3 linked regions of the Saccharomyces cerevisiae S288C genome follow. Changing the gene in region 1 together with any one later gene gives a genetic interaction. Each region holds a gene or a part of one and is shown on either strand. Other genes may lie near its edges.

Region 1 (2,923 bases):
GCGACTCTTTCAAACGATATCAGACCAAATGACCAGAGACTTGAAAGACATATTAGATATCAACGTGTCGAATAATGAGCTCTGCTACCAACTGAAGCAGGTACTTGCTCGAAAAGAAGATTTGAACCAGCAGATAATATCGGTACGAAATGAAATTCAAGAGTTGAAAGCCGGTAAAGACTGGCATGACTTACAAAATGAACAAGCCAAACTGAACGACAAAGTGAAGCTAAATAAGAGGCTAAATGATTTGACTTCTACTTTGCTAGGCAAATACGAGGGAGATCGCAAAATTATGAGCCAAGATAGCGAGGACGATTCAATACGGGATGACTCAAATATTCTGGATATTGCACATTTCGTAGACTTGATGGATCCATATAACGGACTTCTGAAAAAGATAAATAAAATTAATGAAAATCTTTCTAACGAATTACAACCAAGTCTATAGGGAATTGGTTCAAAAGATGTATATATATATATATATATATATATATGTATGTATATATGTATATATGTATATATGTATTACTTCCATACTAAGGAAGTTGTGTTATAAGGTCATTTTTATGTGGTAGACATACTTCATAGATATGCACAAATCTCTCTTTTTTTTTCCTGTTGTCGCTATTAGCTTATCAAATTTGCATCATTTTCAAGTAACGCTGTGACCATTCTGTAGAAGTAGAAAAAGAATATGAGAAGGTAAAATCCCAATTTTAAAAAGCATTCAATTTTGCATCTACCCAATTTTCTGAAAATATCCGTGGCGTCCAGTAGATGTGTTTTCTTGTAGACTTTACTTGCGTTATATGCTAGAACAGGGACATTCAAGAGAAATACGAACCAGTACCCGTTAAAAAGAAACAATGCAGAAATGAAAGCTTGTAGAATTGCCTCTGGTACACTCAACCTATTCACCCTCTTACACAGTTCGATTGAGTTGATATAGTCTGCTTCAAGATCACCATATAATATAGTAAAGTATATCTGGCAAATGGAATTCAAACAATTCAGTATAAGACCCGTCACGAATAGCGATAATCCGGTTCCTGACATCTTTACTCTTGGCTTCGAACTTCTTGGTGCCTGCAGTTAGTTTTATCTTTAGTAAAAAATGATAATGAAAGTGCTTATATGAATAAAGGTATTAATGTCTTCGTATTTAGCAATGTAATTGAAAAATCATTCGTGGCCCACGACAATATTTCCAAATTATCACAGCTTTCGATAGAAGTGAACGATTTTGAATTAGAGAGAGTAGTAGTGAGCTAGACGTACTGTGTTTTGAGAATTGAAGTTTGTATAGCAAAACTATACTATCATAATGCAACATTCAAGAAAAATAATGGTATAGAAACAAAAAATAACTCCGATACGGGGAGTCGAACCCCGGTCTCCACGGTGAAAGCGTGATGTGATAGCCGTTACACTATATCGGATAATAACTTATGTTTGATTTAACCTTAAAGATTTTCTATGTCAAGTTTAAACTGGAGGGCTTTCTATTGCCGAACAATCCTAGCTAAAGGCTTTTTTCCCTATTTACAGAAGAAAATGTAATGACTGAAGATTTTGAAAGGTCTCGTTTGATGGCTAGCAGGCTACACCTAGAATTACCCAATTCCAAAGGTTGGTCATCATAGGAAAACAACCAGCATGAACCTTACCCTAGTTCTCTTGCTACTATTTCACATCATCAGGTGATGTCAACTCAGCTTATTGTCAGTGACGACGGATTAGCATTGATACCTGATGTCATTTTAACACGTGTGTTGGATGGGATCCTATACACACCCAAAGAAGATGATTTTTACAACGACACCACCACCATGTATTATGTTTTTGCCACCTGGGGTGATCAAAGTTGGTCATCCTTCGGTTATGATAATACAGCAAGCCTGCAAGAGCACGAAAGATATGTTTTCTAACTTCTTGCCGAGCAGGGAATATTGGGGATTTGGACCGTTGGAATAAATGGGTCCTCAATATTGACAGGAGTCGGTTTTGGAATGAGAATTAACTATCATTTAGTGATGGTAATCCTATTACTAGAATATTATCAGATACAATGTTAGAGGACAATAGGAATACATAAAATAGAAGAAATAATGATGGCATTACATCGAAATATCGATTACACTATATCTTGGAGGAGAACTTTTTATTTTATTTTGTATATCTGATGCTATAGCCTCTAACAATAAGTTAATCCCAACAACTATCTCAATATTCATATAATCGTCTGAGAGATTGATAACAGCTAGTAATGTAGCTAACAGTCAAAAGATAATAAATGATTCATCTTCCAACAGCTTGCGGGGAAAGTTTTTCACACTAATGTGCGGTGTTGTTTTCCTTAACAGGCTCTGAGCAAAATATGGAGAGAGAGGTCTCATTTACTTTGCCATTCTTCATTTAAGCTTGAGGCTTGTTCTACTGAAATGTTAAGTTCTCAGAAGCCAACTTTGGATCAAAGGGCTTTGTTAGTAGCAAAACGCTATTTCTATTGATTTTGATTATTTTTCGAAACATTAAGAGCACAATGTATATTAATTTTCCCTGATGAATAGTTAAGATGATTAGATGGGCTAGGCGCTTAAAAATGAGAAACAGGTGAAATTTGAGATAAATGTTGATTTCGTTGTTGCTAAAGGCTATAATATCAGGTATACAAAATATACTGGAAATATACCTCGAGAATCTTGGAATCCACGAAAGGGAATAGATATTACTCCATAATAATATTATGTTGGAACGAGAGTAATTAATAGTGACATGAGTTGCTATGGTAACAATTCAATGCTTACATCGTATATTAATGTACAACTCGTATACGTTTAAGTGTGATTGCGCCTATTGCAGAAGGAATGTTAAACGAGAAGCTCAGACAATACTGAAGCTGTGTTAAAGACCTATTAGT
Region 2 (2,910 bases), on another chromosome or scaffold:
TTAACTAACTTCAAGGATTTCGACACTATGTTTTACAACAATGTTTTGGCTCTACCTATTCTATTGCTGTTTTCTTTCTGTGTGGAAGATTGGTCTTCAGTTAATTTGACCAATAACTTTTCTAACGATTCGCTAACTGCTATGATCATCAGTGGTGTTGCATCCGTCGGTATTTCTTACTGTTCCGGTTGGTGTGTTCGTGTTACTTCGTCTACTACATATTCGATGGTAGGGGCTTTGAACAAGCTGCCAATTGCCTTGTCTGGTTTGATTTTCTTTGATGCTCCAAGAAACTTCTTATCTATTCTCTCCATTTTTATTGGTTTCCTATCAGGTATTATTTATGCTGTTGCCAAACAAAAGAAGCAACAAGCCCAACCTTTACGTAAATGAGAACTTACGGGGGGTGCAATTTATTTTTTTTTTTTGGTTTATTTTATTTTATAGAGGCATCTAATGCAAGTAGATTTATATACAATTATACTTAAAATTGATATACCTTAGAACAGGTCGGACACAACGTGTGGTAACTCCAATATATCACTAATGACAATAGCGCCTTCTGGTGTTTGCCCCAAAATTTCATTTACTTCATTCTCAACTAAATGAATACATGTTTTCATGCCCAATTTGATACCTGTCTCGATGTTTTTCCCACTGTCATCTATAAAATAAGCATTCTCGTATCTTGCCAACCCGCTTTCCTTCATGGCTTTTTCAAATGCTTTAACATGTGGTTTGCAGACCAGCGTATCTGTCCTAGAGTAGTCACAATATGTCAATCCATCAAATAAATCCGCTATACCCAACAATCTCAGGCAACGTATTGCGTGGTTTTTATAAGCGTTGGTGAAAAGCCACAATTTATCAATCTTTCCCGATTGTCTCAATCTCAACAGCATATTCCTTAATGGTATATCAGGTTTCAAGATATCTTGTAGTGGTAAGGAATCATCCACAAGCCGGTTATATTCCAGTGCGTTCACTTTGTGGAACATTACAAGTCCCCTTATGGCAAGTCCATACTCTTTGTAGTAAGAGTTATTCAAAACGTGAGCATCTTCAGGTGATAGTTTCAAGTGTGTTTGAAAGAACCTCAGTATAGATTGTTGCATAAGATCGTGAATTCTCGTGGATGATTTATAGAGACAGTTGTCGATATCAAAAAAGAAAACTTTTAAGTTCGGGTTTTGAGGTGTAGCAGAAATATCTTGATCGATCGGAAATGTCACTTTCGAACCTGGATGAGTCAATGATTCAAGATGTGCTTTATTCTTGGCAATTTGTTCGTTCACCTCATTCTGATAGGTTGCCAAATCGGATGCAGTATATTCAACAGTCATGAAGCCTAGTAATGATTCGGTCCAAGAGCTTACTCATGTATTCCGAAATTAATTCAGGTGAAATGGGGGAGTAATATGATATCAAGAAGGCGATCACTTATTGAAGTCCACATAGATACACACAGATAAACATATATATATTATGTATATATATATATATATATATATATATATATATATGTATATATCAACGCCCATACCATTATCATTATCAATAAGTTTGCGAGGCGGGTACCCTCCCTCGTGCTATTATATTACTGTTGCCTTAATTGAGTAATTTGATCGATGACTAATTGCAAGAGATTGTGATTGTTGTACGAAGTTATAAAATCATCCACAACACTCGTTGAGTTTTCCAGTGGTGAAGGTAAGCGGGATGAGATCTGAGTCTTAAACTCTTGCAATTGAGTAATCAATTTATTTCTCAAATCTGTCAGTGTCTCTTGAGGGCATTTATACAATTCTAAGTTTTGTAGGATTTCAATCGTAGGCTGCACCGTTTGATAAATTTGCAACGTGGTATCATTGGTTAAACCTTTTGAATAGAATACCGCTGTATCAATATATTGTTTCAATGCATCATCATCAAGTGGAGATACAGTGCCATCATTGAGGTTCGTATCATTATCATGGAAGATATCTAATTTATGAAGAGTTTCAGGCTCCTTAAGCTTGGCTCTCAAAGTAGAGAGTGTATCCAAATGTGTGTTTATTTCTTTCACGGTTCTCCGAATGAGATGGTCTCTAAAGGTGGACGAATTCACAAAATCGACAACAATCGCGTCCTTATATTGCTGATTGGAGTGATATTGATGATCTTTGCTGTTGGCACTTGATATCAGTAACGCTTGAACGTTATCGTTAAATAGTGTCTCGAATAGGGATTCATTGAATATAGAAAGTAAATCATCGTCCCACTTCGAGGAAAACTCCGTGTTTAGTAAATTGTATAGTTTTACCCACTGTAGTAAAGTTAAGTTTAATGTCTTCATAGAGTCCACCAAGAACTTCTGTAGTCGACAACATTTGTCCTTGACAAGCGCTTCAAATTTGGAAGGAACTGGTATCAAAGATAATTCGTGGAAATTCAACAGTAGCTCGTCGAATATCCGCGACGGAGTAGTGGAAGTAACTATACGATTACAGAAGTTGTTGATGGAGATGGTCCAATTTGAAATTACTAAAATGTTTTGCGATGGTATGCTGACTTTTTCTTCGTCACGAGGTGGTGATATATGGGTAGTGGTTTGGTATGGTAGTGGAGTTAACTTATTCAACTGAAATTTTTCATCATTGAAACACAGGGATTTAAAATCTTGATCAACATTTTTCAAATTGAGCGACAAGTCATTAACAGAATCGGTCAAGCTTAAGATCTTGTTATAGTTCTTTAGCAAATTCTTTTGGAAGGCCTCATTGGTTTTAGTCAAATCGTTCTGTAACTCCAATTGATAATCTTTAATCTGTGGAATATGAGAATCGCGAAACAATGGTAAGACTTCATCCATTTTCTATCGTATTGGTTTTTTTTAGGTTTTCTACCACAAGATTTGTTGTACGAATGTGT
Region 3 (2,976 bases), on another chromosome or scaffold:
CAGGGATTTAAAATCTTGATCAACATTTTTCAAATTGAGCGACAAGTCATTAACAGAATCGGTCAAGCTTAAGATCTTGTTATAGTTCTTTAGCAAATTCTTTTGGAAGGCCTCATTGGTTTTAGTCAAATCGTTCTGTAACTCCAATTGATAATCTTTAATCTGTGGAATATGAGAATCGCGAAACAATGGTAAGACTTCATCCATTTTCTATCGTATTGGTTTTTTTTAGGTTTTCTACCACAAGATTTGTTGTACGAATGTGTTATTTATTATTCACCGCCATGTTTCATTTTTCTTCAGCATAATGATGAACTGTAACAGAAAATAGGAAAAAAAAATTGTCATCTGAGAAATTGCTTTGGATGACCAGATCCAAAACAGACATAAGCATTCGTATAATTGGTACATAGGTATATATCAAATAAAAATATGCATTATTCTAAAAAAAAAAAAAAAAAAAAAAAAAAAAAAATCAAAAATGTCTCTCTAAAGGGTGATTATAAAAAACTTGGTTTGGGCAAGTTTTTAGCCTCCCTTGGACCATTAGTGGCGAAAGTGGAGCCTGCATAAGAGTGACTGAGTTTTTTGGCACTGCCATTACAACCCATTGGTATTATCCCTTGAGAGCCATGCGGGGATTGTTTCTGGTTCAGAAGCAGATTCTTTAGGTTCTGACTCAGTAAACGAGTATCATCTTTGTTGTTCTGTCGTGGCGTTTCTTTATTATTCTGTCTGTTTTTTTTACCTAAAGTAGTTGTAGAGGAAGGGGAAGAAGGTGGAGAGTGCTTCTTTTGATTAAATGATGGTTTCTTGTTGGAAGAATGGCCGAAGTTAGGTTTCTGACCGTTAGGAAGAGTTTGAGGAGGTGGTATATCTGTGATATAGTTGTTATTATTGGCGTTCTTAGCAGCATTTCCCCTCGCACGATTATTTCTAGTTTTTTGTTTGATTAGATTATTTGTCTTGTTCCTGCCAGCCGATGGCAACAGCCTGGAGCTGTTGAAATACATGGTATCCGTCGACATGCCTTGTAATATTTGTGTGAGTATATTTGTGTGCTAAGTGTAATTACGTTACGCTTTGCTGAGTACTTCGTCTTCAATACAGAGTATGTTATTGTCCTTGTTATTTGAAGACTTTTACCTTTTCTATCCGTATTTCTCTATCCGATACAACAACATCATTTTACACGAACAGCCGGATGATAAAACTGTAGTACGTATGGTATTTGTGATATCCTATATAGCCATATAATTACTAGCAGCTATGCAACAGTCAAAGGATCGCAATCCATTTTGCTTACGACTACTTCGTGGCCCTCATCTTGCAACAAGCCCTTCATAACGTCTTGAAGGAATCCACGCTCAGTATTTGAGTGGTTGCAAACAATAACGGTCTTGCCCATTTCTTTCCACTTCAGTACTTCATGATGTGACATTTCTCCCGTATAGTAAAGGTCTACGTCCTCTTTTAGTTGCTTAAACACGCCAGAACCGCTCCCGGCACAGACAGCGACTTTTTTGATTTTGAGTTGATTCCATGCGGATGGAGCAGCAAGAGATGCTACTTGTACATAGGGAACCCGTAAAACACGCTTGACATTTTTGACAATTTGCTCCAAAGAGATGTCTTTATTGAATTCTACGAATCTACCGTAGCCAATCAAGTCGTCAGTTTCGCCACTTACAGTTTCCAAGGCATAAGACTTTGCGACGTTCTCTCCGTTGTTCAAACCCCTAACCAACCAGTCATTTACACCGCCACGAGCGGCATCTACGGCAGTGTGAGGGCAGTATACGGATATTCCGTACTGGATTAGCTTTATAGCTGTCTCGTGTTGTGGGTTTGTATGTGGGCTTAATCTGTTCCAGCTTGGGAAAATAAAAGGATGGTAAGCAACAATTACGTTGCAGTTAGCATCCACAGCTTCTTGAGCAACTGACTTCGTGAGGTCTACAGTCAAAAGGACCTTTGTTTTAGCGTTTGCATCGGCAGTGGTGACTTGTGCAGTGGAACAATCGATGAGAAGACCCGTATTGTCCCAGCTCTTGTCTGCGTACTTTTGAGGGTAGAACTTGGTAATGCTACGCACAAGTTTGTCCAATTGTGCTCTAGTAATAGCTCTGCTCATTGCGTTTCGGTGGACTCTTGTTCTGTTTCCTTCCGACTGTGTATTGGAATAAGTTTTTCGGTGTTATATATATACATATATATGACAGGTGAAAGAATTGAAAAGGTGAAAATAAATGACGAATTTGCAAAATCACATTTCCTAACAACTCAGTGGAGAGAAACAAAGCGCCAACGACACTATAAGATGCCCGTTACTGAACAGGGACTCCGCGAGAGGATAGAATCAGCCATACCGCAAGTTTACCATATCATTGTGACGGATCTTTCGTACGGTTGTGGTCAGTCGTTTGATATTGTGGTGGTCAGCGACTTCTTTCAAGGTAAAAGCAAACTAATGAGGAGTCGTGCAGTGAACAAGGCTGTGAAAGAAGAGCTGCAGGAGATTCATGCCTTTAGCTGCAAGTGCTACACTGAGGAGGAATGGTCTAAGATTGTGGTATGAAAAGGATGATATTGTTCTATTATTAAGTTTCGAAAGGAGACGGCATTGAATCTTTTTGGCATAGACGATTTTGCTTTCTTACGTTATTTACATCGGAGAGTATGTATTTGTGTAGTTATGTACTTAGATATGTAACTTAATTTAATGATATGGTGGGGGGCTATCCTCCATGCCCCATTTCCAGTTATTTGAAGGTTCTTGCGAGTTCAAACCTATGAAGTAAAACGGTTTCTTTTTAGATGTATCTTTCTTGGAGTCCAAATTTAGCGATATTTTTTCTGGTATAACGTATTTATCCCTTATCGATACTGTTGTTTTCAAATATGGGGGAGATTGTTCTTCAAGCTCGGGTATCGGTGTTTGGACCGGTGTGGACGTAACTGTTTCAATAGCAGTAC

What was found. Genes that interact genetically often act in the same process or in processes that back each other up.
Region 2: mutations in ERV15 (region 1) and SDT1 together harm fitness less than expected from each alone (positive genetic interaction), as found in Saccharomyces cerevisiae (2 studies listed by BioGRID).
Region 3: mutations in ERV15 (region 1) and EDC1 together harm fitness more than expected from each alone (negative genetic interaction), as found in Saccharomyces cerevisiae (2 studies listed by BioGRID).

What each region holds. Positions count from the first base shown.
Region 1 is NC_001134.8:643,686-646,608, reverse strand, and holds ERV15 (Erv15p), read right to left. Parts: upstream 1,060-2,923; coding exon 631-1,059; downstream 1-630. Other genes in the region: AME1 (Ame1p), read left to right, coding at 1-451.
Region 2 is NC_001139.9:77,515-80,424, forward strand, and holds SDT1 (nucleotidase), read right to left. Parts: upstream 1,344-2,910; coding exon 501-1,343; downstream 1-500. Other genes in the region: VRG4 (GDP-mannose transporter), read left to right, coding at 1-393; Golgi transport complex subunit COG1, read right to left, coding at 1,598-2,851. UniProt on the Saccharomyces cerevisiae protein: Could be an enzyme that inactivates 6-azauracil by modifying it.
Region 3 is NC_001139.9:80,159-83,134, forward strand, and holds EDC1 (Edc1p), read right to left. Parts: upstream 1,029-2,976; coding exon 501-1,028; downstream 1-500. Other genes in the region: Golgi transport complex subunit COG1, read right to left, coding at 1-207; NIF3 (uncharacterized protein), read right to left, coding at 1,268-2,134; BOL2 (Bol2p), read left to right, coding at 2,216-2,578; ERMES complex subunit MDM34, read right to left, coding at 2,720-2,976. UniProt on the Saccharomyces cerevisiae protein: mRNA-binding protein which stimulates mRNA decapping by DCP1 and DCP2. Involved in the regulation of expression of multiple genes involved in glycolysis and gluconeogenesis.